Linked DNA regions of Ovis aries. The protein of the gene in region 4 purifies or fractionates together with the protein of the main gene of each other region. This does not show direct contact. Links are inferred from orthologs where the notes say so. Each region holds a gene or a part of one and is shown on either strand. Other genes may lie near its edges.

Region 1 (7,992 bases), on a different chromosome or scaffold from region 4:
CTCTTGGGACACATCGCTGGTGGTGCATACAAAATATGACTACTTGAGGACCAACAATTCTGCAACCAAGCTACAAAAACAAGGAAAGTTTATTAAGTAGGAAAAGACTTACAGTTTTAGAAAATTATATTTTGTTTAACACTGCATTTACCAATTCTTTAGAGAAGTTGATCACTGCAGAAAACCCACCAAATTGTTAGAAAGCAAACACACATTATATGATTTCTCAGACATACCACACATTAACACACAAGCAAATCAAACAATGCAGGCTATCAAAAGAAATAAGCTCCAAAAGTTATACTCACTCAAAATTGCCATTAAAATTTTAATCTCTGAAACAAATACAATCTTAGCAATAGGGGATATGAGTAATAGCCTTATGCCATAATAATTACTTTTCAAATGAAGCACCCAGCCAATGAGGCAGTTAAGTGTAAGAACCCAAATACTTTCCCTCTAAAATACCTATTATGCTACAAAAAAGCATAATCCTAGGTAGTTTCTACATTCATTTTTAAACACTGTTCACAACTCAATGTTTTTCCAGGAAAGGCCCACAAAAACTTCTCCTAAGGTTATCACTTTCATTGATAACTGAACAATTTTGCTCAACATCAGCACATCCAGGCCAGACTAAAGCCTACAGTTACCAAAGTTACCAAAGCATAACTGATGTAAATGTCTCCAGGGTAAATGTTTATTTCTATCTTTTTGGTCAGTCATAAGAAAACTGAGTATTCAATGCTATTGATTCTATCTGACAAGCAGTGTTATTTCCAAAAGGAGGGTAAGACCAATAATGCTTTTGGAAAACATGGGCACAGACCTTCCATTATCTGTATAGTACTGCATCTAGCTACTCTTCTATGTTTTCTTCTCCTTCAAACAAGAGTCACTTCTTTGTAATTTGGATGAAATTATAGCCAGTTTACTTTTATTTCAATGCTTCTCTCTTGTCCAGACACCAAAAAAGTAATGAGTCAGTAGACTCTAGAATCAACAAAAAGAAATAAGATGGCTCAATGATATATTAGCAATGCTCATCCCCAAAATGCTTCCTTTTAGCATATAATTTTTCAAACCCTATACAAAGCACAGGTACTAAAATTCAAGAACACACAGTAAAGACAGTAAGTAAACAAATCTTTTCTTACTCTAAAATCAAACTGAGTTTAAGTACATTAGAACTTCATCAATAAAATACTTCATTACTATAGGGTTAAATTATACTAAGTGAGGTTAAATTCCCTAAAATACAAAACTCACATATCAAGCAAAGTCTGTTCTGTGCTGCACTTAGTCATTTAGTTGCGTCTGACTCTTTGTGACCCCATGGACTGTAGCCCGCCAGGCTCCTCTGTCCATGGGGATTCTCCAGGCAAGAATACTGGAGTGGGTTGCCATGACCTCCTCCAGGGGATCTTCCCAACCCAGGGATCAAACCCAGATTTCCTGCACTGCATGTGGATTCTTTACTGTCTGAGCCACAGGGAAGCCCAATTAAAGCCTACGGGAATATAACTACACTTTAAAATTACTATTCTGGTCTTTCAAAACCAAAAGATTCCTCTCAATTCATAATTTACAAAATACATCATGACCAGTAAAGAACTTATGTCCACTGCACTGCCGCAAAAACAAACCAAAAACACTACCTGAAAGAACACACTAAAAGTTAGCAAACCTTTTGGAGATGATCAAAGGCATCACCACTAAAGGGGTCACAGATATACAGTGATCTATCATTTTCCTTTATTTTCAATGCCTCTTCTTCTGTAATAATCTGAAGATATTCTTCTGATTGGAATTCTTTTATTGACTGAAAGAAAAAATAAGAATGCATATGAAATTATTCACCTGTATTTATGTCCTATGAACTGTATCTTCAAAATCCATCTCAAATCCAGCCTTCTTCCCATCAAAAGGAACCATCATCTCTCACGTGGCCTGAGCAGGAGTCTCCAAAGGGGTTCCTTCTCATCCTTTGCCCTAAATCTATTCTCCACACAGCAGCTACTAATCTTTTCAACAATACAAATCAGGTCATATCACTCTGCTGAAAACCTCCAGCAGCTTCCCACCACACTCAAAATAAAATCTTCATTTCTTACAATCACCTATAAGACCACAGAGTCTGGCCATTGCCTGTCTCTGTCTCCCCATGCTTACTTCTTCCTCTAATCCCTTTTGCTCACTCTTCTCTAGCCACTCCTGCTTTCTTTCCAGACCTGGAACAAGCTAAGTATGACCTCATTTAGAGGTTTTGCACCCCCCCCCCCCCCCACTGCTACCTGGAACACTCTTCCCCCAGGACTTCACCTGACTTGTTTCACTTCAACCACATCTGCTCACATGTCACTTCCTCAGAGATGCTTTTCCTGATCACACTTTTCTAAAATATTCTTTCCCTATTTTATGAAGAAAACAACATAGATATAGTATTATGTATACTAGCATATATAGCATACATAATATTATATATACATATATACACAGTTTTTGTCTCTCTCCCTTGTAAGAAGAATGTTTTGTGATCTATCTTGTTTGGCAACATATCCTGGCTCCCAATAAGCACTCAAATATTTTCTTAACAAATTCTGAAGTCCTTTCATTAAATACTTAGGGTGATCCTTTTAAAACGATTAAGTCAGATCATATACTCTTCTGATTAAACTCCCCCAGTGGCTCTCCATCTCACCGTAAGAAAAAGCCAAAGTCCTTAAAAGAGACCACAAGGCCCTCATGACCTCTTTATTCTTATTCTCTGAACCAAACCTTAGCATTCATCCCACATCTCCTGTTCACACTACACTACAGCCACAATAAAGCAGGACAGACACTGCAAGCACCTTCCCAGGGCCTGTGTATGATTATTTCCTCTGCCTGAAACTGAAACCTTCCCCACATATTAACATGGCTCATTATCTCACCTCCTTCAAGTATTTACAAATATCAACTTCTCCACAGAGAATATCACACTATATTTAAAATAAATTGTAAACTTCCCTTCTTCCTTAACAAACATCTTCTGGAATGTTTTAACTTGTTTTGCATTTCTCCTCCCACAGCACTTTGCAGCTTTAACATACTATATATTACACACTGATATATCTGACTAGTTTATTTCCTATAGCTATAATAGAATGTAAACTCTGAGAAAGTATGGATCTTTGCCTGCTCTCATTATCTAAATGTATCCCACGTATTTGAACAGTGCTTATCAGATGATGAACACAATTATTTGCTGAATGAACTTAAAAGAAAAACCTGCTACAAGTGTTTCTTTCTTTTCTTTTTTTTTTTACAAGTGTTTCTTAAACATACATAAGATCTTGTTAAAAAGTAGATTCCAATCAGTGAGTCTGAGCTGGGGTCCAATTTCTCAGGCCACGGTGATGCTACTGGGGGAGACACTACCCCTACATCCTCCCACATGAAACTATATAATGAAACATACTTTTAACAATTAACAACAACAAAAACAAAAAATGAAGTGTAACCAATATAGGACTGCCTCAAGTTTTTTCAACACACAAAGGTCTATGGTTAGTAGACAAAAGAAAACTACTTAATTTCTAAGACTACCAGGCCCATCACTTTCAATATAAATGTCAGTAAAGATTTCAATCCCCCCAAAATACATGATATACTAATATCAATTCAAGAGTGTGTTAATAATGAGGTATCTATGAATGTAGACTAGAGTAAAACTATTATGAAAATAAAATAACCATGACTAAGACATAAAAGGCCTAAGTCAAAAACACTAGAAACAAGAAAATGAATTCACAGCAAGACATTGTCAAGTAGTCTTACCTCAAGAGCTTTAAAAAAACATTCAGAATTGTCTGAAGACTTTAAAAACTTCACAAAAAACGGTTCTTTGTCATTTTTGGACATTTCTGAACTGTCAAAATAAAGGAACCATTAACAAGAGTAAAAACACATTACGTACAAAGTTAAATGTTTAAAGCACCTACTTTTCTGTGCAAATAAGAATGTCGAAGGACAAACATTCTGGTCTTGCCCATGAATTCGTCCATTATGGTTTGTAAGAAACAGTGGAATGTGGACAAAATCAAGGGAAAAGATGACAACAACCAGTCTTCGTAAATCAAAATACGAAATTAATGTTGCTAAACTGAATTCATCGAGGACTTTTGCTCTGGAGCTCTAAGTCTCCTAAGTCGATGGTCATTCAATTTCATTTAGCTTGAGAATGCTCAGAACGATTAGGTCCCTGAGGTCATCTGCGGCCCTCAAGATAGGTTAAGCCCTCAGTAAACGAACTTTACATATAAACATGAAAGCCAGCCATTAAAGTTAGGGCCCTAAAAGGCTAGATGCTCTCGCTTCGCAGCTGCCAGGGGAAAGTCCGATTATCGGTCCTGCCCCAGTCACGTGCTCTCCGCTGTCCCATCCACCGGTCCGGGGACCGGTTACAAGGTCCGGAATCCAGGGCCCCTAAGGCCAGAGGCGGCGTCGAGGACCCCTCCCCCTTGCGAGGTGGGGAGGGAGCGGGGTGCTCACTCTGAGCTTCACTCACCTCGGTGGAGGCAGGGGATCTCCGGGCCGCGAGTAGGGGGCCGCGCGGCACGCGGGACTGCGGCTGGGGTCGGGCGCCAGCCCGGCGCACACCCGCCGCACCCAGCGGCGCCCCCAACCAAAGCAAACGCAGACCCGGAAGTTGCCGAACCGCGAACCGACTTTCGCGCCAACCGCGCGGTCTTGCCCGTCCCTTCCGGCGGAAGTGACGCTACGACAACTGCAGCGGGGGAGGGCGGAGACAAAAGAAAGCGGCGGTGCTGGTTGGTTCCCACCCGGAGGCTTAGGTGTTCCCGGAAGGCTGTGGCAGAAGCTTCGGCTCAGGAGCTGGAAGGGCGGGTCTTACCTTTGCTGGGAATTGGCGAAGCGCTGAGGGCTAGGGCTTTGGGGCGGCGGGTCGGAGGTATTTTAGAGCAGGAGTTCGCAACTCCAGGGCCAGGGAAGGTTAGTGGTGGAAGCAGAGCCGCTCCCCATTTCTCGCGTTGCCTTCTGAACGGCCGAGCTCCCCTTGCCCTGGGAAAAATTGTCTTTTACTAAACCGGTCCCTAGTGACAAAAAATGTTGGGGACTGATGCCTCAGAGCAGACCCTAACATATCAAAAAATAAAGACAGGTAAAAGAGGGTTTCTTTAATAGTTTATGCTGAGACACCATATGTTACCTAAAACAACTCTGGGAGGCGAATACTGATTTGTATTTACAAATGTAAAAACAGGCTTAGGAAAATTAAATGAAGTGTTCGAGGTCACAGTAAGTGGTAGAAGTTTAAGACTGCACCCAAGTCTTTTTGACTCCATGGACTGGTGGACTGGATTATTTTCCTCCAGTATAGCCCAAATGTGCTCACCAGCTACAACAGCCAAGGGTCTAAAGAAAAGAAAGACGTCAGGATGACGTGAATGACATGCCTGGTGCGTAGGAGGTCTTTGCCAACTTCAGTAGTGCCCTCCAGGACTAACACCCTATTCTCCCACCTCGCTACTCCCACCTCGCTACCCCCAACCCGTGAGCATCTCATTTTTTTCTCTGTAGCTTCCCAAGTGTTGGGCAGATTGTGGGATGGAACCTAATGTTCAAATGGCAAAGGTGTGGGGAGAGGAGGTGAAATAGGATTGTAGGACCTCTGGCTTGTTGATGGCCAATGAAAAACTGCTTGGTCAGCGTTTCTCCTCATTTTATTCTTGACTGTTGGGAGTGAGAAAATCATGATTTGAGTAACCTGAGAGTTTAATGATCTGTACCTTGGTTTTTTAAAATGTCTAAAGATGGAAGATATGATGGTCATCTGAGTTAAATTCACCCATTCCAGTCCATTTTAGTTCACTGATTCCTAAAATGTCGATGTTCACCCTTGCCATCTCTTGTTTGACCACTTCCAATTTGCCTTGATTCATGGACCTGACATTCCAGGTTCCTATGCAATATTGCTCTTTACAGCATCAGATCTTGCTTCTATCACCAGTCACATCCACAGCTGGGTATTGTTTTTGCTTTGGCTCCATCCCTTCATTCTTTCTCAAGTTATTTCTCCACTGATTTCCAGTAGCATATTGGGCACCTAATGACCTGGGGAGTTCCTCTTTCAGTATCCTATCATTTTGCCTTTTCATACTGTTCATGGGGTTCTCAAGGCAAGAATACTGAAGTGTCTTGCCATTCCCTTCTCCAGTGGACCACTCTCTGTCAGACCTCTCCACCGTGACCCGCCCGTCTTGAGTTGCCCCGTAGGCATGGCTTGGTTTCATTGACTTAGACAAGGCTGTGGTCCTAGTGTGATTAGATTGACTAGTTTTCTGCGAGTATGGTTTCAGTGTGTCTGCCCTCTGATGCCCTCTTGCCACACCTACCATCTTACTTGGGTTTCTCTTACCTTGGGTGTGGGTAATCTCTTCATGGCTGCTCCAGCAAAGCACAGCCGCTGCTCCTTACCTTGGAGGAGGGGTATCTCCTTACCACCGCCATTCCTGACCTTCAACTACTGTGGGCAGGAATCACTCAGAAGAAATGGAATAGCCATCATGGTCAACAAAAGAGTCCAAATGCAGTACTTGGATGCAATCTCAAAAACGACAGAATGATCTCTATTGGTCTTCAAGGCAAACCATTCAATATCACAGTAATCCAAGTCTATGCCCAACCAGTAATGCTGAAGAAGCTGAAGTTGAACGGTTTTATGAACACCTACAAGATCTTTTAGAACTAACATCCAAAAAAGATATCCTTTTCATTATAGGGGACTGGAATGCAAAAGTAGGAAGTCAAGAAACACCTGGAGTAACAGGCAAATTTGGCCTTGGAATGTGGAATGAAGCAGGGCAAAGACTAATAGAGTTTTGCCAAGAAAATGCACTGGTCATAGCAAACACCCTCTTCCAACAACACAAGAGAAGACTCTACACATGGACATCACCAGATGGTCAACACCGAAATCAGATTGATTATCTTTCTTTGCAGCCAAAGATGGAGAAGCTCTATACAGTCAACAAAAATAAGACCAGGAGCTGACTGTGGCTCAGAACATGAACTCCTTATTGCCAAATTCAGACTTAAATTGAAGAAAGTAGGAAAACCGCTAGACCATTCAGGTATGTCCTAAATCAAATCCCTTATGATTATACAGTGGAAGTGAGAAATAGATTTAAGGGCCTAGATCTGATAGATAGAGTGCCTGATGAACTATGGAATGAGGTTCGTGACATTGTACAGGAGACAGGGATCAAGACCATCCCCATGGAAAAGAAATGCAAAAAAGCAAAATGGCTGTCTGGGGAGGCTTTACAAATAGCTGTGAAACGAAGAGAGGCTAAAAGCAAAGGAGAAAAGGAAAGATATAAGCATCTAAATGCAGAGTTCCAAAGAATAGCAAGAAGAGATAAGAAAGCTTTCTTCAGCGATCAATGCAAAGAAATAGAGGAAAACAACAGAATGGGAAAGACTAAAGATCTCTTCAAGAAAATTAGAGATACCAAGGGAACATTTCATGCAAGGATGGGCTCGATAAAGGACAGAAATAGTCTGGACCTAACAGAAGCAGAAGATATTAAGAAGAGGTGGCAAGAATACATGGAAGAACTGTACAAAAAAGATCTTCACGACCCAGATAATCATGATGATGTGATCACTAATCTAGAGCAGACATCTTGGAAAGTGAAGTCAAATGGGCCTTAGAAAGCATCGCTACGAACAAAGCTAGTGGAGTTGATGGAATTCCAGTTAAGCTGTTTCAAATCCTGAAAGATGATGCTGTGAAAGTGCTGCACTCAATATGCCAGCAAATTTGGAAAACTCAGCAGTGGCCACAGGACTGGAAAAGGTCAGTTTTCATTCCAATTCCAAAGAAAGGCAATGCCAAAGAATGCTCAAACTACTACACAATTGTACTCATCTCACATGCTAGTAAAGTAATGCTCAAAATTCTTCAAGCCAGGCTTCAGCAATACATGA
Region 2 (8,017 bases), on a different chromosome or scaffold from region 4:
CCCTTCAGGTCGATGCTGTGTGCACGACGACTCTACAGCAAGAGTGGGACGTTGGGCTGGGGCTGATATGCCCGGGCTGCCCTGTGGTGTCCAGCAGGAGGACACCAATCCCGGGCAGCCCCTCACTCCCGCCACCCCCCAAGCTGTGCTGATGAGGGAGGCTGGTCCCCTGGTGCCAGCCTACAGCTCCCAGCAAGGGTCTAATACTGGAACCAGGACCAGTAAGGACTCCTTCACTGGCACCTCTGAGCCTGGGACCTTCTTGCCATCAGGCACTGTCAGCTGCACAGGCTGAGGCCTCACCTTGGCATCCAACAGGTAGTTGTAGGGCATGAAGATTATGTCTGCCTGCTGCTTCAGGTTCCGAGACAGGTAGTAGGGGCACAGCCTGGAGGGGAGGAGGTGCTGGGGCACTGAACGGGCAGCGAGGCTTGCCACCCCTCATACATCCGTCCTCAACCGTGTGAGTGGACCACTCACTTGTGTAAAATCTACAAAAGCCCCAGGCCCACTCCTGGGCAGGTGGATGAGGTGGGAGGAAAGGGGATAGCCAGGCCTCTGCCCCCACAACCAGAGCCCTGAATCCATGAAGTTGCAGCAGATGTCGGGGGTGGGGGCACACCAAGTGGAAGATAAGCTCAATGCCTGGGGAGTAGAGGGGGGCTGGGGGCCAGGAAGAAGGATCTCACTTCTTACTTCACAGTTCTCACAACTGCCATGTACTTTCATACCGAACAACGTTAGTTTCATGATTTCAAAAGGAAAGAAATGGGTGTGCCTCCGCACGTGGAGGGAGCCCAGCCTGCGGCAGCCGAGAGGGGAGCTTACTTGTGCTTGGTCCCGCTCCTAACCAAGTCCTCGATGTCCAGGATGGGAGTGGCCAGCTCCTGCTCCAGGCTCTTCTCTGGGGACACGGTGGGAGTGAACACAGGCTCTCAGGTCCACTGAGTCCCCCTGGACCACAGGGGTCACCCGAGATGGAATGACTCCAGGCAGCCCCTGGGGAGGGCACCAAGCTTCAAGCAAGTCCTGAGGGAGCCCTGCTCTGTGCTTCAGAAGGCAGCCACAGGCCGAGGCTGAGCACCAATGGGAGACCCAGGGGAGGAGGCTGAGGGCAGTGGGGGTTCTGCAGCCCAGGGACCAGCAGGCACCAGCTCCGAAGGTACCTCCTCTGTAGGCCAAAAGCTCCCCCCAGCTCCCCACCCCACCCTGGCCTCCTGGCCCCTCCCTCCTCAAGGTCCCTCCAGGTGAGGTGAGGGACGCTGCAGGTGAGGGAAGCTGCAGGTGAGGGACGCTGCAGGTGAGGGCTGGTCCAGCAGAGGGAGCAAGCTGACCCACAAGCTGCTGTGGAAGGTGGCTGAGACCCCAAGAGAAATGCTCTCGAGACCCAGTACCTAAACTGTCCTGGGGGCTGCCCACACTGGCATGCCTACCTGACAGGCACCTCAATTCCAGACTCCTAGAAGGGACAGTTTAGGCCCAGGGGACCTCCCCTACTGGGCATGGCAGGGACCCTCCCGAAAACCCCAGTCCCTCAGCCCGTGTGAGCGCCTTCGCCAATGTCATGAAACAGAGCCCAGGCGCCCCCACGTATAGAAGGCCGCCAAGCCCGACCCTCGGAGGCACCCACAGTCCACGCCCTGCAGCATGCTCACTGAGGGGCGGAGGGGCCGCCATGAGCCCCCTCACCTTCCACGTTGTTGTAGAAGTGACAAGAACGACCTGCTACCTTCCTGCGGCACAAGTGGACCTGGGGGGACACGAGGCCTGGGCTAGTGTGACAACTGCACCCTGCCCTCCCCTTGCCACCAGTCAGGCACCCCACCAGTTCTTCACCCTGCTCCCCTACCCCATCTCCCAGGGGCACAGCTGAGGCCCTAAAGCCTGGGCAGCTCTCACAAAGCAGCAGCAACAGAACCCCAGCAGACAGGCAGGGACGGGAACGCACCTGCATGTGGTTACTCTCCTGCTTCTTCACCTCAGGGTGGATACACAGCTGCTCCCGGGAGCCCAGCACACACACGCGGGGCCTGGCAGAAGACAGAGCGGGGGCCCCAGTGCCATCCAGCGACAAGAGCCATGAGTTATACTGGGAAGCTTGGCTCACCCACCCAGACAACCAGAGAGGGCAGGCAGGGCGGAAATCTGGCCCGGGACTGAGAGGGGCTTTCCCTGCAGCTTAGCCCAGCCTGAGTCAGGGTCCAGGGCGAGTGAGGAGGCAAGGCTGAGAAATGACGGCAGGCCTCTGGAAGGCCCCTCCACCTCCACGCTCCTCTCATGGGAGACTGGAAAAAGGGGACACAGCCCTCTTGCAGAAGCACTGGGAGCTCCGACATAGGGCAGAGCCCCACCTCTGCTGCCCCACCCACACCTACAGCTGACATCTCATCCACAAGGAGCTCAGGGTTCTAGCCCAGTAAGGGTGTCCCAGGGTGGAGTCCTGGCAGACCACCCCCCCGACCCACCGGTAGGAAGTGTTTCGGAGCTCGCTGATGACCTGCGTGAGCTGTGAGTGAGTTCTGGAAGCATAGATGATCTTCGGGATGTCCGTGTAGCAGGCTGCCCAGCACAAGGAAGGACAAGTCACGGCTACAGGCACTCAGCTAAGTCCACCCACAGACAGCTAAGCATCAGGTGCCTGAACCCGTGACCAAGAAGCAGAGCAGTGGGTCTCTGCAGAGTCCTCATTTGTTTGTAAGGCTATGACCCTAGGTTTACAGCTAGGACAATGAGAAATGGCGTGGCAGCTACACAACCCCCCAGGAGGCCAGGAGTGGGGCAGAGGGAGCATCACCTGGGACATCTCCTTCCGGGATGGCATTCCCCCAGGACGCCAAGGTGCGGTCGGGGAAGAGCTCCCCTGACGCCCTCTCAGCGATCCTGCGGGCAGAGACCGCGTCTCGGAGGTGCTCTCGCCAGGCCAGTGTGCTGCAGAGAAGGCACAGTGTCTTCCCTGTGCCTGTGGGGCTCTCCAGAATGCCGTTCACTTTCTGAATGGGGTGGAACAAGGGTCAGGGAGGAGCAGGAGGCAGGCACCGCAGGCCACACAGCCCACCTGAGACTAGCCCAGCAGCCAGCAGAGGGCATAAAATTCCACAGGACCTTTCCACTCCCAAACCAAAAGCTGGAGGTTAGGTCAGTACACGTTAGCAAACAATTTGCAGAGCATTACCCAAAACACCACAGTATCTTCTAACATGCTATAAATAGGAAGATGACTAATTAGGTATCAAGCCTCAAAATAGGAGTTCCATTCTACAATTCTGGATCCAAGCATTTACACAATCTTGATGAGATCTGATGGCCTACATAGCTCTCAGCTGGGAGCCTGAGTGGGGAGCCTGGGCATACACAACGTGCCCAGCTGCAGATGCAGCCCTTGGGTGCTGGGGGCTTGGGCAGAGACAAGAGGGCATGCCCAGAAACCCAGCAAGACACTAGCTGCACCCCATGAGGTTTCATGATCTCCCCAGATGAGGGCTGGGTACCAGCTGCCCCTCTGTGTGGAAATACGTCCTCCAGATCCTCAGATGGCTGGCTGCTTCTCATCGCTGGGCCTCAGCTCACACACCACCTTCTCAGTGAGGTTCCCCCAGGTGCTCTTAAGCCTACCACCTTATGCCTTTCTTTATAGCACTCATCACCATCTAGAATTACCTTTTTTTGATTTATTTGTTCAGCATCTCTCCGACCCCACCTAAAACATGAGCCCTATTTATGGCTAAGGCCCACATCCATAAGGGCAGCATTACCAGTAGGACCTGGCCGGAGTTAACAGGAAGGTGTATGTACTGATACCTTAGGTCTTTGCAGAGGCTCTACCAACGCTGACCCATCCCCAGGTACAAGCCCCTCAGTCTGCAGCCTCACCTTCTGCAGACACTCCAAAACTTTGCTCATGTACTCCTCTTGGCATTTGTACGGCTGGAAAGGGAAGTCCACTGTCACACCTTTCAGGGTTATCTTGGGCATACTGGTCTACTCTTGGGGTCACACAGAGGTTGGCTGAAGTGCAGGCTGTGTGAGTCTGCGAGACAAAACCTCCTCTGAACATCTCAGAGTCTCAGCGGCTTCAGGCAAGTGATGCCAGCCTGCACTGCGGGGACATGGAGCCTCTCTCCACGCGAGATCCTACAGCAGAGACGGAAATGACAAGCCTGTGTCTAGTGAGCTTTTCCCGAGTGCCAGGCCACTTCATCAGTTCCCGCAGGCAGTGCCTCCCGCGGACAGGTCCGAAGGTGAGCCTGTGACATCCCATCACAAGGGGCTCACAGAGGTGTCCTCCCTGCCCTGTTCTCCCGCCCCACACAGCTCCACCGAGCTCCTGGAGAGGCAACAGAAGAGACGGAGGTGCAGTTCCACGTGCTCCAACCGCAACAACACTGCACTGACCTCCGCCACAGCAGAGGAGCCAGTTCCCAGCAGCGCCACCTCCGCACCAACCCACCCCCCCCTCCACCCCCAGCCTGGGCGGCTCGGAACCTCCCACCCCTGAGGCTCCCACCCTCGGTTCTCTGGGCCATCTCCATCCCTCCCAGGCGGGCAGCGAAAGAACACGTGTGCTGCTCTGACCTGGGATGCGAATCCGTGCGGCGCCCCGCAAACCAACCCGCCTCCCGAGGCCTGGTTTCGCCTAGACACTGGAACTAACTGCCCGCGCTCCAAAACCCCGCCCGTCCGCCCTTCCCGCTGGCCCGGCCCACTCCGCGAGCGGAGAGCTGGGCACTACGCGCCCCACAATGCAGCGCGGCAGAATCGCCAGCGTGCGACCTGAGGGTGGCGCGGGGCCTGCCGGGAGTTGCAGTGACGGAAGGCGCTGCTGGAGTACAGGTTCCAGTGCCCGGGTCTCTGAGGGGAGCCGTACACGAGCGGGGTCCCCAGGACTTCACCTCAGTCCGGCCCACACATCACCATCGTGTCCGCAGCCGGCAGCCAGTCTGAGTATGAGGGCTTAGGCGCGCCGTCTTTCCGGAACTCTCTGCACTTCCGCCGCCATTCCCAGTCCCTTGCTCAATGCTCCGGCCGGAAACTGCTCCCCTGAGGGTGCGCGCGCTAGTCGCGCGCTGCGGTCCAGGTCCCACCAGCCCCTTCCGTTGACCCTGAGCCCAGGGCCCGCCCCTTCTCCCCCAGGGGCACGAACCTAGGATCCCGACCGGCTCCCTCCTCAAAGTCATCCCCACCCGGGCCTCCGTTCCACTTCCCGCCTGGCCTGGACCAAGTCCTCTCAGACAACTGCCCAGACAACTGTACAAACGTTCTGACAGGTTTCCTGTGGTTTCCACCTTTTCTTGAAACGCCCAGAGGTCTTTTAAAGACTTGACTGAGCTGATCACTCTCAGATTTCGCAAATGGCTGCCCCTTGCCCGTGACTTGGCTCCTGAGAGCCTCATCTGTTCCTCTGCTTACTGTCCTCTGGGTCCAGCCGCTTTTTCGGTCAATGTCTCCAACTAGTCAGGGCAGGCCCTCTGAATCCCCAGCTCCCAGCACCAGCTGGCAGTCAACAAGGAAGTTTCAGGGGTCTCCGTGGTTAGAAATGTTTGTCTAGGTGACCCCAGTATGCCCCAGAAAGCGCCAGGAAGAAACTGACGGTGCGGTGGCAGCCGCAGTCCTCTGGCCAGGCTGATTTTAGAGGGTCCCGTGGGCCGATTAATGTCCAGAGGTATTCCTGCTGGTAGCACGTTAATGCCACGTATGTGTTTAGGCTCTTGGTCTGAAGTCATGCTTGGGAAGCCCTTGGCACACGCTGGTATCCACCCATGCCCACCTGTTCCAGTAAGGGAATGGCAGAGTGTCTATCTCAGCAGGGAGTTTGGAGAAGAGGAGAAGTTTGGAGAAGATGTGTTGGCACACACTTGCTGGATGTTTACCTGGCACACTTTGCAGTGCCATCTATGCAGGCATTAACATGTTTGTCCATCCAGCAAACCATCCCTGAGATAAGTGCATCTATGACCCACTCCTTACAGGTGAGGAAAAGAAGCACACTGTTGGCAGCGGTTAGTAGATTTCCCAAAGTGAAAGTGTTAGTCGCCCAGTCTTGTCCAACTCTTTGTGACCCCATGGACTGTAGCCTGCCAGGTTCCTCTGTCCAGGCTAGAATACTGGAGTGGGTAGCCATTCCCTTCTCCAGGAGATCTTCCCAACTCAGGAATCAAACCCAGGTCTCCTGCATTGCTGGCAGATTCTTTACTGTCTAAGCCACCAGGTGAAAAGATAGCAGCAAGTCTGAGAGCCGGGAGTCCTACCCTTACCCTCCACACCCCACACTCTGAGAGTAGTGGCATTTTCTCCCACAGAAGTCCAAGGAAGGGAAGCCCAGGACCCAGAGATTCAGCAAACCCTGGGCCAGAACTAGAGCTGAGGACCCTGGTCACACATTGTGCATCAGGACCTCCTGCCCAAGCCTCCTAAAATTATAACATGTAAGTGCTGTGGTCCTATACCCTGAGAGATGAGCAGAAAGGGACATGGAGGCCACATAGCAAGCCCCAGAAGGCCGGCACAGAGATCTCAATCAAGTCAGTGAACTTGCACTTGCACTGAGTGTCTGCTCTGGTAGGCTTTGTGGGACTCCCATGGTAGACCAGCCCCAGTGTGGACCCATTATGCTCATTGAGTGTGCACATTAAGGTTCTTGGCTCTCCTCATCTCTGCATGTTCCAGGTTTCCCCAGAGTTCTAATTCTGGCTCCAGAACTCCGTTTCTTGTGGAGTCAGCCCTTCTCTTGGCCTAGTGGCTCTGTCCCTAAAATGGGAACATCACTCCATCTGCCTGATTTCCCATCCCCAAAGAGGTGATGCTTACTCTGGGAAAGGCCCTCCCTTTGAGGGTATCAATCAGAACTCTGAGTCTAGGGAGGAAGCAGGCAGGACACTCACCAAGTGTGCACACTTCTCCTACACCACTGGGGATTAACACCATTATCTCATCTCACACCTGAGAAATGGAGGCCCAGAGAGGTCAGAAACTTGCCCTCAATCACACAGCAAGTAGATGTCAGAGCGGGGATTGGATCCTGTCTCTGTCTTCCTCCAAAGCTTTGTTCTAGGCCTTTGCACACTGATTTACCCTCCTCTCTGCCTCGAGTTGCTCATCCGCTGGGAGGCCCCTGGAGGCCTTCCAGACCAGCCCCCACCTGCACCATCTATGATTTGCTTTCCTTCAGCACAAGCCTGGGCACAAAAAAGGCACCTCCCAGCCTTCACTGGCCTCAGAGAAGCTCTGCAACCCCACCCTGACGTTGAGGCCTGCCCCCTGCTCCTGCACAGCCCCTGGGAAATTGGGTGCTGTCTCCACCAGCCCCCTGAGAGTGTACAAAGCCAAGTTGGGGCAGCGGGTCCTAACAGTGAGCGGTGGGAGGATGGGCCTCTGGCTGCAGCGCAGGGCTCTGCATCCCAGGCAGATCTCAGCCCCTCCCATTGTCCGCTCCCCTCACCCCCTCCCTCCAACGGCTGCAGCCCAAGCCACAGCCAGGCGCTTTCTCTCTCTCTCTCTCTCCCTCTCTCTTTCTCTTTCTCTCTCCCTCCCTCTCCCCTGCGCTCCCGCCTCCCGCCCTCCCTAGCTCCCTCCCCTCCCCGACACTGCAGCATTCGCCGACTGCAGCTCCAGCCGCCGCCCGCGCCTCTCCCGCCTCCCGCAACCCCGCCGCCGCCAGCACCATGGCCAGCACCATCTCTGGTAGGCACCCGGGCCTCCGGTGTCCTGGGGCAGCGGGTCTGAGCACAGACTATTGTCTGGCCTCGCCTACTGCTGGGCGGGATGTGGAGTGTTTTCCCATCTCGGATCCTGCGCCCTGAAAGGGCGCGGGCAAGCTCCGGGTGGAACCCGCAGGAGACATGGTTGGGGGCTAGGGGATTGGGAGACCCGATGCCCATAGAGCAGGGATTGCGGTGCCAGCCTAGCAGGCTTGGGCCGCGGGGTAGGGACCACGCTCGGGGTGGGGGCGTCGGCCTGGGGGTGCCGTTGCCCCTTCGTGCGCCGCTGTGCCAGGCCGGGCGTGACTGCCGTGCCACAGGGT
Region 3 (7,503 bases), on a different chromosome or scaffold from region 4:
TCCGAGCTAGCATCCAAGTGGTGAGCGATCACCGGTGACCGATGAGGGCCCAAAGCAACCCTCTTGGCTCACCTGTCTCCTAAATCCTGAGTCCCCGTGGGGTGCTCTCTCTGGACTTTGGACACCCTGTGCTGTGCTGCGCTATGCTTGGTCGCCCAGTCGTGTCTGACTCTTTTCGACCCCATGGACTGAAGCCCGCCAGGCTCCTCTGTCCAGGGGATTCTCCAAGCAAGAACACTGGAGTGGGTTGTCATGCCTTCCTTCAGGTGATCTTCCCAACTCAGGGATTGAACCCAAGTCTCGGGGACAGCCTACCGGTAGCCTTTTGAAGTATGTTGTGTTTGTTTGTCTTCTTTGCAGATAGTGTCAGGGTCGTTAGTCACATAGAATCTGGAAAGAAGCAGTGTCACCCAGGTAAGCCCCGGAGGCACTTGCTACCTTCACAGCCCTAAGAGTCTTGCCTCTGGATAAGCTACAGTTGCATTTTGATGCCAGATGTGAGACACCATTAGTAATCAGGATGAGTCCCATGGGATATCCTGTTCGCAGGTGAGAGCTGCTTCCCTAGAGTACTTGTTCAGGGCACCGGGAGGCTGCAGTGTGGTGACCAAGGGGTGTGAATAACCCTGGAGATGTGAGAATGAGAGATTTCTAATGAGCTCTGACAGTTCAAGGGCTGAAGGAGTCTAACCTCTTTTTTCCCCTGCCCACCCAGTCTTCATACAAATGTAAATATGCCTCCTTTGACAAATTGACAAATTGCCAGATGTGGTTTTAATCTGTAAGCAGGAGACCCTGCCTTGCCTTTTTCTTTCTTTATTTGAAAATATGAAGTCACAGGCTTTGCACTTTTCGAGCTGGACATTTCCTTCTGTCACTCTTGCTGCTGCTGTTGTTGTTTTTCTCTTCCAAGGACATTTTCCTCCATTGTTAGAAGAATTCGGGATGAGAGTCCATTGTCTGTTTTTTAGAGGTGTTTTTGAAGTTCCCATAGGAAATGCAGAGTGCTCTTTAAGGTTAAAAAATAAATAAATCGAGGCAGCGGTTGAATCCAGTGTGAGACGCGAAGAGTGTCTGTATCACGGCCTCATGTTTTGTGGTCTGTGCAGTATCCATTGTTGTTATTTATGACCCTGTCTCCCTCCGTTGTGGACTTCTTCCAGCCTTGGGGAATTTACATCATTCCTAATAGGAAAAGGCTTTCTGGTTCCCACAGAGTTGTTCAAAGCCTGACTCATGCTCCTTATGTTAATTGTGCAGCTCTGAAACTACAGCACTTTACAGGGTGTGGTTGTAAGGGGGAAATCTACTGTACTTACAAGGCATGTTTAGAAGCGTTTCACACATAAATCTCAATCTCTCTCTCTCCCTCTCTTCCTCTCTTTCTCTGTCATTTAACTTTTAAACTAACACTTTTGGGTCAACAAACCTAGACAGTATATTAAAAAGCAAAGACATTACTCTGCCCATAAATGTCTGTATAGTCAAAGCTATGATTTTTTTGATATTCTTGTATGGATGTGAGGGTTGGACCATAAAGAAGGCTGAGTGCCAAAGAACTGATGCCTTTGAATTGTGCTGGAGAAGACTCTTGAGAGTCCCTTGGACAGCAAGGAGATCAAACCAGTCAGTCCTAAAGGAAATCAATCCTGAATATTCACTGGAAGGATTGATGCTGAAGCTGAAGCTCCAATACTGTGGTCACCTGATACAAAGAACTGACTCCTTGAGAAGATCCTGATGCTGGGAAAGATTGAAGGCAGGAGGAGAAGGGGATGACAGAGGATGAGAAGGTTGGATGGCATCACTGACTCAATGGACATGAGTTTGAGCAAACTTCAGGAGATAGTGAAGGACAAGGAAGCCTGGCATACTGCAGTCCTTGGGGTTTGCAAAGAATGGAACACGACTTAGCGACTGAACAACAGGAAGTCTTAAGGGAAAGAAAAGGGACTAGCATTAAAATGCAGTGAAAGTGAAAGTCTCTCAGTTGTAAGTCTGACTCTTTGCGACCCCATGGACTATACAGTCTGTGGAATTCTCCAGGCCAGAATACTGGAGTGGGTAGCCTTTCCCTTCTCCGAGGGATCTTTCCAACCCAGGGATCGAACCTAGGTGTCCCACATTGCAGTTGGATTCTTTACCAGCTGAGCCATACGGGAAGCCCCAAAATGCAGTATAATCCAATAAAACCAATTGTATTCTGTTTACTAACTCTTAAAACTGACTTGGGTTATAACTAGACCCTGAGTGACATTGGTCCAGGTCTAAAACGCCGGTGAGTTCATGAGAGCAAAAGGTTGGTGCTCAGTGGTGCAGGGCAGTGATTGGACGAAGCTCATGGCATCACTCTGTGGGACATGCAGATATGATTCCAGTGGCTGCAGCCTACCAGGCTCTCTGGGGTGTCAATCTTACTTCCAGTGTAGGTCTGCTGGTACCTTACCAATACCACTCCTTGTGGCAGCAACATTTTACTATAAAATTTGATGGAGAAGGGTACTGAGAAATGTACTAGCAATTGATAGAATTTAACACCTTGTCTGAATTATCTATGTGCTAACCAAAAGGAAACAACTTTCCAAAAGAAAGAAATTGGTCAATATTGATGAGGGTTGGGAGATTTTAACTTTTTATAGCTACTTCTTTATGAAGCTTCCATGTGTATGGATAGATAGATAACCTCAGAACTATCTAAAACCATGTTAGTGCTGTTATTTTAAGGGGAAAAAAACTCGGGAGTGTTTTAGTAACCAGGAATCTCAAAATCTGGTTTTCAAAATACCAGTATTGGTAGGCTGAACTCTTGACATTTTTTGCAAAGGCCATACTCTGTTTTTATAGATAGAGAAGATGTGAGAATTCTAAAGTTCATCGGAGTACAGACCCCTGTGGCCCCAGGTCTCTCTGGAAGGCCAGTCCCACGGCCACATGGTCGCCTGACTGGGGCATCCTCACATCCCAGGCCTCAGAGCTCTCGGTTCTGGCCGAGAGTTCCCGGATGGCTTGGAGTCACCATCTTGCCTGTTTGTGGCACACATTCACGAATGAAACGTGTACTTGGAATCCAAGTGAAGTGGTGGTGTTCAGTTGACAATTTGGGTCCGCCTCTGTGACCCCATGCACTGCAGCATGACAGGTGTCCCTGTCCTTCACCATCTCTCGAAGCTTGCTGAAACTCACACCCACTGCGTCGGTGATGCCATCCAAACACCTCATCCTCTGCCATTCCCTTCTCCTTCTGCCTTCCATCTTTCCCAGCATCAGGGTCTTTTCTAATGAGTTGGCTCTTCACATCAGGTGGCCAAAGCATTGGAGCTTCAGCTTCAGAATCCATCCTTCTATTGAATATTCAGTATTGATTTCCTTTCAGACTAGCTGGTTTGATCTCCTTATAGTCCAAGAGACTCATAAGAGCCTTCTCCAGCACCACAGTTTGAAAGCATCACTTCTTCAGTGCTAAGCCTTCTTTATAATCCAACTCTCAGATCCGTACATGACTGCTGGAATAACCATAGCTTTGACTATATGGACCTTTTTCGGCAAAGTGATGTCGTTTTTAATACACTGTCTAGGTTTGCCATAGAACATTCTAGACTGAAAAAAATTAAAATAACCTAACACTATGTAGTTTCATCCTGTCCTCACCAAACTAAATCCGTTCACTGGGGTATTTGGAGTGGAAATGTTTTCCACCTGTGCAGTTAACAGATTACTGGTTGACTTTGTTGTCTTTTGCAGCAGCCGGGACGAGCTCTCCACGGAGCAACAGGGGATCGTACTGGGTGTGTGGAACAACTACTTCCTCCCGGGGCAGAGCCCAAGAGAAATGTTCTGCAAGAAATGTAGGTCCCGTGGGTTTCCTCTTCTTCTCTCCAAACTGTCTATATAGATGGGGACACAACATGAGGGCTAGAATTCAGCAAGAGTGCCTAGACCCTAATCACAGAAGCCCTCAGACACTGATCCTGTCCAAAGTCACAGAGTTGGGACTTTTTCTACTTTCCAGACTTTTTCTCTTGCTTTCTGGACAGGGGGAAACAAGGCCTGGCTTCACAGGTATGTTGCAAGGAGTAATTAGTGGCAAGCACTTTGAAGATGAAAAGCACCTGTTGATGGTGTTTCGTGCACCTTTCCAAGCAGCCCCGGACAGATTGGGAACCATGCGCTGCCTTCCTCAGGGGCCTCTTCTGACCCTCGTGTCATTATAATAATCTTTGAGAGAACGATAGCTGTAGTAAGAATATGAATACATGTATTGGTTTCCAGATGAAAGCTGAACCTAAAGAAATATTTCATTCTCAATATTTTGAGTTCAGTGGTTCAAGAAACTTCTTTCCATTCACAAGTCTACAAATATATGCCAAAATCTCTGGTCTGTACAATCTCCCTGGCCAGCTTCTATCCTGCACCTCCAAGTGAATGTCACACAGTACAATCTGCTTTATCTGTTGTATGTGTGTTATAGAAAAGGGAACGTTTAAAAAGTTTCTGTGTGTTATAGAAGAGTTTGTATGTGCGTAAAAGAACATGCTTGTATGTACACAAACACACACAGAGGCTTTGCTTTGTGTATTTGCTTCTGGGGAAAAAATCAATATATCAAATATAGGTAATATTGATATTTAACATCTGAAATGAATGCCTCTCTGCCTTAGTTAAAATATGAACTCCATTAAAATGCCATTGTTAACCAATGATCAATAAGTAAAGTGTGTCCCAGTGTGTAGGAAACTGTGACAGCTCTTGGTTGATCCAGTCTGCATATCAACAGACACTTGGGATTTTTTGTGAGATTGGCCAGTGGGGTGAGGAGAAGGGAGGTTAACACATGCCTCCTGCTTCAAGTGTAAGAAATATGACATGGGGACTCCGAGGGAAACCTGGCCATCACAGGTTTACAAATCAAAAAATTCTTTCTTTGTTTTAGTGTGAACAGAACTGAGACAAAAAGCAGCGCCGTGAGCGGATCTCGGAGCAACGGGCCCAGTGTGGGAGCATCCAGTGACTCCGTGGCTGCAGAGGGAGCGTGGAGGAGGGGGGGCCGGCCAGCCTCATCCAGCCCCCCGGCCGTGGGACAGGCAGAGGATGACAGGAAGGCGTCTGAGACCCACCAGGGGCTTCCTGCTCTGAAGCTGGAGAAAGGTCATCAGGCCTGGCCAGGAGCAGCAGAAACCTCATCCCAGGGTGCGGTTGCAGACCGGGCTTCTAAGCAGGAGCCTTGTCTGTGGCTGTGAGTCAGCATTCCCCAGTCCAAAGCAGAGTCCACGAGGGGCCGGAGCACCGCAGAAACTCAGGAAGCGCAGCCCTGCGGGAGACGCCGACCACCACAAGAGAGTTTCTCTTGGAAGTGATCGATTAGCCCCGAGGGAAATAATAGTGGGAAAAGGAAAGCTGCCAGGGTCCTGCCAACTGGAGAGCTGTCAGATCCGGGGTTGCTTTTGAAACAAGATTTGGCAGAAACTGCATCTAATGAAGAGTTGCATGTTTTGGAAAACTCTCTCCTCCAGACATCTTACGAAAAATAAGCCAGGGCAGGCACAACTCAGCCACAAACACTGAAAGCTTAGCTCTGACTCAGGGCAGCCCAACCAAGAAAAGAAAAGGGTGGAAGCAGCTACTTGCTCACAGAAGAGGATTGCAACCTCATCGTGGAGGATGTCGTGACCAGACCTGGGACAAATGAGCAGTGTGCCTAGAAGCCATGACTTACAGGAATTCAAATGATCATTTTCAGTAGAAGTTACGTACCTGTGTTGGACTTAACTTTCAAACCAGCAGCCTCCAGGAGCTTGTTCTGACAGCACTGTTCCTTTCTGGTTCACACTTTAACTTCAGAAACTTACTTTGGTGATAAAGAACCATTGGCTTTGTTGGCAGCGACAGCATCCATAAAGGAAGCGCAGGAAGAAACCAGTGGTGTGCCTCGCTGCATCCCTGGATGAAGCCCACAGTGACCGTGGTGCTCTCTTTGCCGGCCAATCCTCCTGCCCTGCAGCCTGAGTCAGGCAGCAGTGGAGCAGCAGGCTTGCGGGTCACCCCATCTGCTTGCGGGTCACCCCACTGCTTGCGGCCCCAGCGTCATATCTGAAAGTGTGTGAGAAAGGCAGAGCCTGGGCCCCACCCAGACCTACAGAATGAGAAACTGGGTGATTCTGAAACATGCTCAAGTTTGGCAACCCCCGGGCTAATTGCAGACCCCCTTGGATTGATTCCTGCGGCCTGACTGTCCTGGCCCCTCGCACATCAGCAGGGCCCACATGTGGACATGCAGCCGTCATGCCCCCTCGGACTTATGAAGCACCTGGCTCAGGGTGTGAAGCACTGGTCCCATTTAAGCATGGTGGCCACAGCGCCCTGGGAGCTGTGACTGCACTAAGAGTTGCAGGATATTTACATATAGTTTGGCCTGACATTAGGGGGAGACATCAGAGAGGCTTGTTCTTTCTTGTAGTTCAGGCATGTCCCTACCCCTTGCCCCTGCCCCCACCTTCAAGACTCTGGTGAAGTTCAGAACAGATCCAAGCCCGAGGGGAATTCAGTGGGCAGAATTTGCAGTTCCCCACTTGGAAGGCAGCACGGGCAGCTTAGATTTCAAACCAGGAGCCTTCCATTTGCAGGATCACCCACTGTTGTCTCCAGTGGGCTTGCTGAAATGTCATGTAGTGAATCATAGCAATGACTTATTTTGGATGGACAACTACAGTAGGTTTTCTTAACCAAGTTTTATTCTGAAATAATGAAGGAAACTATATTCAAAGGCCACCCATCAAATGTGTCTTTTTTTCCTGCTCAACATTGGGTGGTCCTTTGAAGTAATACCTCCTCCCTAGTAACACGGAAAATCAAGATATTCCCCAAAGTGTAGGAGTTAGAAAAAAAAAAAAAGACCAACAAAATAAAAGAATATGGAAATGGATACAGTGTAAGTTCATGCTTAAGATTAATTAGTGGTTTCTTTCTCCCAGCTCATTCTGTCCGTCCCCAACTCTCCTTTCCTTAGATTGTAGGGCAGGACTCCTGAAGAGGCAGCCGAATATCATGGCACCATTTTGAGTCATGAAGCTAAGTCTTCCTTGCCATGCCTGGCTGCGGATGCAGGCCCCTTTCTTTGATGCTCCAGACTCTTCTGGAGACTTCTTCCCTTCCTGGGACCCCAGCCTCAACATCCCCACCAGGAAGGCGGCCCTGCCTACTGACGTCTCTTCCTCTTCCCTCCTAGCTATTAATCCTGCCCCAGGTGACTCCGTTCACTGGGCTCCACAGTAGAAGAGGTAGCCCAGCAGAATACCAACCACAGTGCAGCTGAGTCCACTCCTCCAGGAAGTGCAGACTGCACAGGGCAGAACCCTCCTGCGGAGGTGATAGAACATGGTCCGTCCTGAGCCCCGTCTCAGAGTCACCCATTTCCTGGGTGCTTGTCACTGAAGATGGGCTCACAGTGTGTCGTTGAGTCTTAAACAGAAACAGTTGTTGCAGTAGTTTAGGCAGAGAGGGCACAAA
Region 4 (7,503 bases):
GTCAAAGGAAGAGGAAGAGAGATCAGAGTATGTTGATTTTTTTTAAAAAAAAGAAAAAGGCCTTTTGTAGTGGTGGAGGACAACAGAGCGCTGATTCTGGAGATGAAACGCTTCAGAAGAAAACTGGGCACAGTCTCCACAGGGACCGGGAGGGGACAGCGCTCCATCCTCAGAGGCTCGGGAACAGACCAGCTGGCGTGGACTGGTTTCCACGAGTCCTTCCTGAGATCCCCCTGTCCCTAACAGTTTGAGCACAGAAACTGCTGATCCTTCTGTATGTTGAATCCACGTTTACCCATCTCCTCTCATTCCCCCCACCGAGGAGAAGGGGTCCAGCCCTCCCAGGTCGAACAGGGACCCTCAGAGCAGGAACTGCTCACCCCTCTAGCTCATTCACCTTTCGGTCTGGTTGCCATTTTAGCCTCAGCAATGGAGCTGGCTGTCTGAAGCGGAAGGGAGCCACCACCAAGAAGGAGCCACGGAAGAGGCGGAAGGTCCCTGAGCCCGAGGCGCCCTCCGAGGACCTGTTGGTAGCCATGGCTCTGTCCCGCTCAGAGACGGAGCAGCAGGCGGTGCCGGCCGCGCTCAGGCTGGGGAACGCTTTTGCAGAGAGGACAAGGCTAGGAGCAGGTGCGGCAGCTGAGTGGGGTGCTGAAAAGCCTGGCTGCGCGGCAGCTGCCAAAGCTTCCCCTGGGGTCCCCGGTGGGAGGACGACTCCGTGCTGCTTCTGTTTTTTCTCCAGAGAAGAAGACCCACAAGAAGAAAGCCCCCACGTCCCCCCCACAACTGTTAGTCCAGGATGCGGAGACCACGGGCCGGCAGATACAGGACCGCCTGGCCCAGCTCCTGTCGGAGGAGGTGGAGCCGTCCAGCACGCCGCCACTCCCCACCAGCAGGATTCTAGAGGAAGAGCTGGCCAGGGGCAGCCGGGTCCTGCGACCCCCCAGGGGGGCACAGAACCTGCTGTGGGAGGCCAGTGCCCTCACCGGGGCTAGGGCCCTGGAGTCCTTCTACACGGCCAGCCTGGTGCCTCCTCTGGTGCCCCAATGGCCTGCCAAGGTGTGCTCCCTTCCGGTGGGGCAGGTGGGCTCAAGGGGAGAGGGTGGCGGCTCCAGCTGCGGCACCAAATGCAGAGGGGAGGAAGCCGGGTGCCATGGTGTGGACTCTAGTGTGTTGTCTTTGCAACAACCAGATGGTTCGCACAGTAGGAACAGGGAGGCCCACAGGTTTCTAAGCGTTAAGATTCTGGAGAGTTCAGAATGCAGGGTCCCAGGTCCTGCCCCGGACTGGTATAATCTGCCTGTGATGGGACCCAGGAACAAGACAGGCCTGTGTACAGGAATTGGCACTCACCTGCTTGAAGCAATTTAGATGCCACTAGGAGGGCGGGGGCGCTGCCAAGACAGAGGTGCCTACTGACGGGTAACAGGGACAAGCTTCCCAAGTGGCTCTGGCTGGGGCTCGCTTCCCAGGGACTCTCAAGGTGGTGGTGGCTGTGGAGGCCACATGCTCACTCTGGTTCACCTACTTCTTTCAGGGTCTCACACAGGAGCCCATGCGGCTGCCACAGCCACCCAAGCTGCCAGAACTGAGTGTGGGAGCACCCGCTTCTGCCCCTGGCACCCACCCCGTGAGCCACAGCCTCCGGAGCCCAGCACCCTCCGCCAGCCAGAGGGAGCGCCAAGCCCTGCAGGATCTGCTGGAGCTGGCGGGAGAGGGGTTGCCTGCCAGCCCATGCAGCAGGGACCTGGCCAGCTCAGGGGGGGCTGCAGGTGAGACCCCGACCCTCAGGGCCTCCCCTCCCCGGTACCAGGGCCGCGATGGCCACTTGGGTCCACAGTCCCAGTTCACCCTGTCTGACGGGAGGAGGTGGTCTCTCTGGGTGCTTTCCTGTCTCCTCAAAGGTGAATGTGACTCAGGCGAGTCCGTCAGTTTTCCTTCAGCTTTGACTGAGGACAAAGCCTTCTGCCAGAGCGAGTGGTCGTGAGGGTTGATTTCGGCTTTCTCTCCAGAGTACAACTCTGTTGGGCAGGGGTGGCGGTGCAGGTGGCCTCTGGACAGTTCGCCTTCCATGACGACATCCTCGGGTCGGCCAGGTGATGCTCTTTCCCAGGTGGTTGATGATTTTAACCTGCAAATCCTTTTAGGGATGGACTTGTCGCTCGGTGGCCTTCCACTGACTGGGTTTGTCCTGCCAGCCAAGGAGAAGTACCCGGAGGAGGGCGGCCAGGCTTCGGTGAGCACGTCTGGTCCTGCTCGCGGCTCCGTGGTCGTGGCTGCAATGCTTGTTGTATGTTCAGTGCGGCTGGCTCACAGCCAGCCTCCAGGCCCCTGCAGAGTCCACGGGCACCCCTTGACGGCCTCTGAGCTGAGCCAGGTTCTGTCCCTTCCGTTGTTGAACCCCAGGGGCACCTCAGTAGGCTCCCAGGGCCAGGCCCAGGGAGCACCCTTGCTCTGTGAGGGTGCTTCATCCAGCCAACGGGACTGACCAACTAACTCGTGAGAATCCTGGAGGCCTCCAGCTAACAGTTCGTGTTCTGTACTGGTGACTTTCTGGGTTAGAAACTGGTTTTTCCTTAGAGAAGGTGTCATCCCGTGAGCACATTGGTATCAGCCGAGCGCTTGTCACCAAGTTCTCCCTGGGGATGTGGCACCTGTCAGAGAAGGGACATGGACTCCTAGCCAGCCCCACAACTGCTTGGGCTCAGGTCCCACCTGTCACATCCGGCTGGGCTGATGGCTTCCTCACGGAGACCTAGCAGCTGCTGACCCTGCCACCGCGTCCTGGCGAGGCTGTCACCCACGCCTCTCCACGCGCCGGGCCTCCGTCTTCACGGGCCAGGCCTCCTGTCTAGGCCAGGGAATTGGGTGTGACAGAGAACTTGAAAAAGGACTGGGTCTTGCTGTTCCCTGTCTCTGAGGGCCTGAAGGTAACCTCAGGGTGGAGCCCGACATTGGACCTGGTGAGGCAGGAGGCCCTCACTGGCTGCCTCCTCCCCTTGAGTTGGGCACCTGCATGGTTCGGGGGCCCACAGGTGGGAGTGGCCGCTCTCCCCCTCTCGTTGCAGCTCGCCCTTGGTCTGCTGGTGGCCGACTTCAGTGCCATGGTCAACAACCCTCACCTGAGTGACGTCCAGTTTCAGACAGACAGTGGGGAGGTGCTCTATGCCCACAAGTTTGTGCTCTATGCCCGATGCCCACTTCTCATGCAGCATGTGAGTGCGTGGCCAGGCGGCCTATTCCCCCTTTGCTCTTGTCCCTCCTCCCTCCCCTCCCACTCACCCCTCCTCCCCCTCACCCTCCCCTCTGTGCCCAGCCTCTCCCTCTCTTCCTGCCCCTTTCCTCCCCACACCCCCACTCTCCGCCCACTGCCCCTGACCTGTTCTTCCCCTGATGCCATAAAGGTTGTACTTCCCTGGAGAAGACAGGTTTGAGGTCAAGAAGTGCTATGAGGAGATGAGCTCAGGGCTGGGAAACATCAGATTTCTTGTTCCGTTGAATAAAAATCCTGTTTTCCCTAGAACTGTTTCCTTTTCCTCTATTTACATATCAGTAAAGTCTTATGGAGAAGGAAATGGCAACCCACTCCAGTGTTCTTGCCTGGAGAATCCCAGGGATGGGGGAGCCTGGTGGGCTGCCGTCTGTGGGGTCACACAGAGTCGGACACAACTGAAGTGACTTAGCAGTAGCAAAGTCTTATAATCACCTTCTGTTTTTTTCTGCCATGCTGTGTGGCTTGAAGAATCTTAAATTCCCCAACCAGGGATTGAACCCTCACCCTTGGCAGTGAGAGTGTGAAGTCCCTAACTGACCTCATTAAGGCTGAGCTGCTATGACATTTCTGTGTTGTCATATCTTGACTTGAACGTGTCATGGACTTGAACGTGGCATCACAAGAATCCCGGAAACTGCTGTCAGTCTCGTCAGAAAGTTCTAGTGCCTTTGATAGGCTTGTCAACAGAGGACTGACTGGCTCCTTAAGCCTCTATCGCTGACTTGACTTTGGAAACAGACAGGTTTTGTGCCCTAACCTGAAGAATTCCTGGTCAGCTAAATGGAGCGACTCTGGCTAATGCCCGTCCTAGGACGAGATCCAAGGCACCAGAACCTCCTGAGTCCTGTTTTGCCCCAGGTCACGGCTGTCCCGTCAGTAACTCTTCCATGTGCATCTGTCCCTCAGGTAAACAGTGAAGCCTTCCTGGCCGAAGAGGATGGTGACTTGAGGCGCCAGCGCGTGCTGCTGCGTGACGTCAGCACCGAGGCCGCCCAGGCATTCCTGCATTACCTCTATGCTGCCGACACCATCCTGACTCCCCAGCTGGCCCCTGACCTGCGCTCTCTGGCCCAGAGGTCCGGGCTGTTCTTTCCACTTACTTCTCGGTTTTTGACAGTAACCGACAGGGATTATCTGGTTGATGGCCCATGAGAGGTCAGGGCTGAGTCCTTCCTGTACCTTTTAATCCCAAGTTTATGGCCAGTGGTGACCTTGAACAGGGTGTACTGACCAAGATTCTGGCCACAGGGAATGCTTGGAGGGGAGCCCAGTGGCTTTCACTCGCTGGGAGTGACGAAGGGGTGGTCTCAGGCCCCAGCCCCAGCAACACCACCCCTCGGCAGTTCCGCCACCAGAGCTGCCCAATGGCCGCCCCTCCAAGTCTGAGAAGGTGGACGTCGGCAGGATGCTTGCTCTGACGCCCCTGACGCTGCAGCTGCCTGGTCTCTCCACCCCTGTGTCCTGCTCCCACCTCTGGGGTGGAACCTGGGGAGGGGCGGGCTTGGCCTCCGGGGTCTCCAAGGTGCCGATGAGATGGCAGAGCTCCAGGCAGGCCGGCGCACGTGTCCGGGCTGACCCAAACCGGCCTGGGCGACCCCGTGTGTGTCAGTCCCGGTGCTTTGGGTCCGGTCACAGAACCACCCAGCCCCGCGCTCCCACCTCAGCTCACGCTCAGGCTGCACAGTGAGGCTAGTGGACCCTCCCCAGACGCTGTTTCTAGAGCTGAGTGGCCTGGGGCATTGCTGGGCGTGGACATGGGCACTGTCTCTGCAGGGGATTGGGGAAGGGCCAGGGAGTCACGGCTGTGGGGACTCCTGCCCCGAGCCTCCCGAGCCAGGGCGCTGCCTCTGCGCAGGGGGTGGTGACACGTGACTTTCCTCTTGCAGGTTTGGGGTGAGTGAGCTTGTTTACCTGTGCGAACAAGTGCCCTTTGTGATGGATGCAGAAGGTGGACAGGCAAAGGAGCAGGAAGACGACGCTGACGGCAGAGTGGAGACTTTCCGAGAGCTCCTGCACCTTGTGTGGCTGGGTGAGGAGGAGGGAGCAGAGGCCCTGCTGAAGCCGGAGGGCCGCGAAGAAGACAGAGAAAAGGTCAACGAGGAGGAGATGGAAGAAATTTATGAATTCGCAGCTACTCAGCGAAAGCTGCTCCAGGGGGAGAAAGCTCCAGAGCCAGAGGAAGAAGCTGACCTGCTCGGGGAGGATGGTCCAGTTTCGGGGGAAATCCTCACAAGTGAACAGGATAAAGAACAGCCAGAAAATGCAGAGCAGGTGGAATCATCCGGGCAAGGAAGAGATGAGACCCCAGCCAAATGGGGAAACACGAGACAGTCCACACTCCTGCCCCCCAGCGACCAGGCTTTGAACGGGGCAGAGAGAGCAGAGGCCCCAGAGGGAGCACTGGCTCCTCCCTGCTCCTCCAGCCCCGCCCAGGGCCAGCCAGAGAGGCAGGAAAGCGCCCCTCTGTGCTCAGCTGATGATGATAACGTTCAACAGCCTTTTTCATCACCTCAAGCTGGATACTCTGAACTCTCCCGGGTGACGAGCGATTGGGAAGAAGGAAACAGGACCATCCAAGAAAGGGAGGTAGAGGGGTTCCATCCCCCTGCACACCAGCAGGCACCCCCCTCACGCTCATGCTTCCCACCGCAGCCCCATCAAGGCCAGAGTCCTCGCCAGCCACGTCCTCACACTCGTTGCCCCAATGACCTGTCCCCACCAATACTCCAGTTGCAGGCCACAGCTTCCAGCATGGCCTCCCAGAACTTATCACTGAAGCCAAAGAAAGCCAGGCGCCTTCCCTCGTCACGTGAGGATCCAGGCCAGAAAGACAAGGAGTGTAGTTCCGCACTGGGATGCAGAGGTAAAGGGGTCCTGATCTTCCCAGAAAAATCTCCACCCATGGATCTAACCCGGTCAGGACCTGGCCGCCGGAGCTCCAGGCCTGAGACCTCTCCCCGCAGCATGAACAGAGAAGACGAGGTGATCCTGTTACTGGATTCAGATGAAGAGCTGGAGCTGGAGCAAACCAAAGCAAAGTCATTTCTGAACAGTCCCTTAGAAGACAAGAAAGTTCTGGAAGTCAGCGCCAAGTCCTCTGAACTGTTTTCCATCATTGACCTTGACGCGGAGCAGGAGCCTCCCCAAAGCCCACCAGGAAGCCAGGCCCTGCTGCCGCAGGAGGTGGAGGGGCGGCTAGGGGCCAGCACCGACGACAGCACCACGGACACCTCGTGGCTCGTGCCCGCTACCCCGCTGGCCGGCGGGAGCTGCGACTGTTCCTCGCAGACCCAGATCACAGGCCTCGGGGCCAGGCCGCCAGCAGACCCGCTGGCTCTGCCCAAGCCCAGGGCCCTGTTAGAGAACAGGGACGAACCCGAAGCCACGAGTAAGTTTTCGGTCATCATACCCCAGATGTCGTCCCCACACCTGGGACCCGCCCCTCCTGGAGGCTCTGACGGGAGAAGGCAGGCCTGCAGCAGCCCATCCAGCCCCCGCCGCAGACTCCTCCCACGTGCTTCTCCTCTGGCTCCCCGGCCCATCTTAGGAGGCCTCGCCGACCTCCCCAGGCAGCTCCCGAAGTGCCTGCCTCCTGTGCGGAGCCCGGCGGCTCAGGCTCCCGTGAGTGAAGTGGTGGAGGTGGAGGACAGTGAGGACGAGCAGGAGGCAGCCTCCCAACAGGCAAGCAGCAGCCCCCTGCTGGACGGTGACCCCCCGCTTCCAGCCGAGGACTGGTGCTGGCACATGGAGCCCCTCTCACCGATCCCCATTGATCACCTGAACCTCGAGCGGACAGGGCCCTTGAGCACCAGCAGCCCCAGCAACAGGGCAGAGGGTGCCCCAGACAGCAGAGACTGCCACTCCCCGGCACTGCTGGGCACCACCCCAATCCGAGGGAGCTACACTGGCCGGAGGAAGTCTCAAGAGAAGTCCTCTGGGGCTGGCTCCCCTGGGAGCCACCAGCAGAGCTTTCTGAACTCAGCTCTGTGGGATGACTGGAACGAAGAAGATCAGAGGTCCTCAGAGGCAGCTCCTCTGCCCCAGACGCCGCGCACAGATGGAGCCCAGAGGTCATACAAGTTACAGACGCCAGGTGAGTAGTGGGAGGGTGTTTGTCTCTGTTTCATGCTGAGGGGCATGAAGTCATAATGACAGCGAGGGGCGGCCAGCCCTCCCCTTGCCTGCCTGACCTTCTCCACGGTTAGGGAGGAAAGGCCTGCGGTCAAACA

Evidence for each region.
Region 1: the proteins of SLX4 (region 4) and TOPBP1 purify together in Homo sapiens (affinity purification with mass spectrometry; 3 studies listed by BioGRID, with this or other methods). This does not show direct contact. The link is inferred for Ovis aries from reciprocal best matches to the Homo sapiens genes SLX4 and TOPBP1.
Region 2: the proteins of SLX4 (region 4) and RTEL1 purify together in Homo sapiens (affinity purification with mass spectrometry; 3 studies listed by BioGRID, with this or other methods). This does not show direct contact. The link is inferred for Ovis aries from reciprocal best matches to the Homo sapiens genes SLX4 and RTEL1.
Region 3: the proteins of SLX4 (region 4) and SLX4IP purify together in Homo sapiens (affinity purification with mass spectrometry; 6 studies listed by BioGRID and IntAct, with this or other methods). This does not show direct contact. The link is inferred for Ovis aries from reciprocal best matches to the Homo sapiens genes SLX4 and SLX4IP.

The regions. Positions count from the first base shown.
Region 1 is NC_056054.1:256,376,384-256,384,375, reverse strand, and holds the start of TOPBP1 (DNA topoisomerase 2-binding protein 1), read right to left. Parts: upstream 4,693-7,992; 5' UTR 4,550-4,692; intron 4,381-4,549; exon of another isoform or gene 3,984-4,380; intron 3,911-3,983; exon of another isoform or gene 3,906-3,910; 5' UTR 3,904-3,905; coding exon 3,820-3,903; intron 1,823-3,819; coding exon 1,688-1,822; intron 994-1,687; exon of another isoform or gene 830-993; intron 71-829; coding exon 1-70. UniProt on the Homo sapiens protein: Scaffold protein that acts as a key protein-protein adapter in DNA replication and DNA repair. Composed of multiple BRCT domains, which specifically recognize and bind phosphorylated proteins, bringing proteins together into functional combinations.
Region 2 is NC_056066.1:53,773,142-53,781,158, forward strand, and holds the start of RTEL1 (regulator of telomere elongation helicase 1), read right to left. Parts: upstream 5,019-8,017; 5' UTR 4,890-5,018; intron 4,653-4,889; exon of another isoform or gene 4,573-4,652; intron 4,132-4,572; 5' UTR 3,973-4,131; coding exon 3,871-3,972; intron 2,991-3,870; coding exon 2,795-2,990; intron 2,560-2,794; coding exon 2,466-2,559; intron 2,031-2,465; coding exon 1,949-2,030; intron 1,751-1,948; coding exon 1,690-1,750; intron 905-1,689; coding exon 829-904; intron 389-828; coding exon 304-388; intron 33-303; coding exon 1-32. Other genes in the region: STMN3 (stathmin-3), read left to right, coding at 7,659-7,677. UniProt on the Homo sapiens protein: A probable ATP-dependent DNA helicase implicated in telomere-length regulation, DNA repair and the maintenance of genomic stability. Acts as an anti-recombinase to counteract toxic recombination and limit crossover during meiosis.
Region 3 is NC_056066.1:3,744,889-3,752,391, forward strand, and holds part of SLX4IP (protein SLX4IP), read left to right. Parts: intron 1-3,741; coding exon 3,742-3,845; intron 3,846-4,930; coding exon 4,931-5,237; 3' UTR 5,238-7,503.
Region 4 is NC_056077.1:3,514,492-3,521,994, reverse strand, and holds part of SLX4 (structure-specific endonuclease subunit SLX4), read left to right. Parts: intron 1-421; coding exon 422-630; intron 631-742; coding exon 743-1,059; intron 1,060-1,537; coding exon 1,538-1,772; intron 1,773-2,147; coding exon 2,148-2,236; intron 2,237-3,068; coding exon 3,069-3,215; intron 3,216-4,180; coding exon 4,181-4,350; intron 4,351-5,160; coding exon 5,161-7,367; intron 7,368-7,503. UniProt on the Homo sapiens protein: Regulatory subunit that interacts with and increases the activity of different structure-specific endonucleases.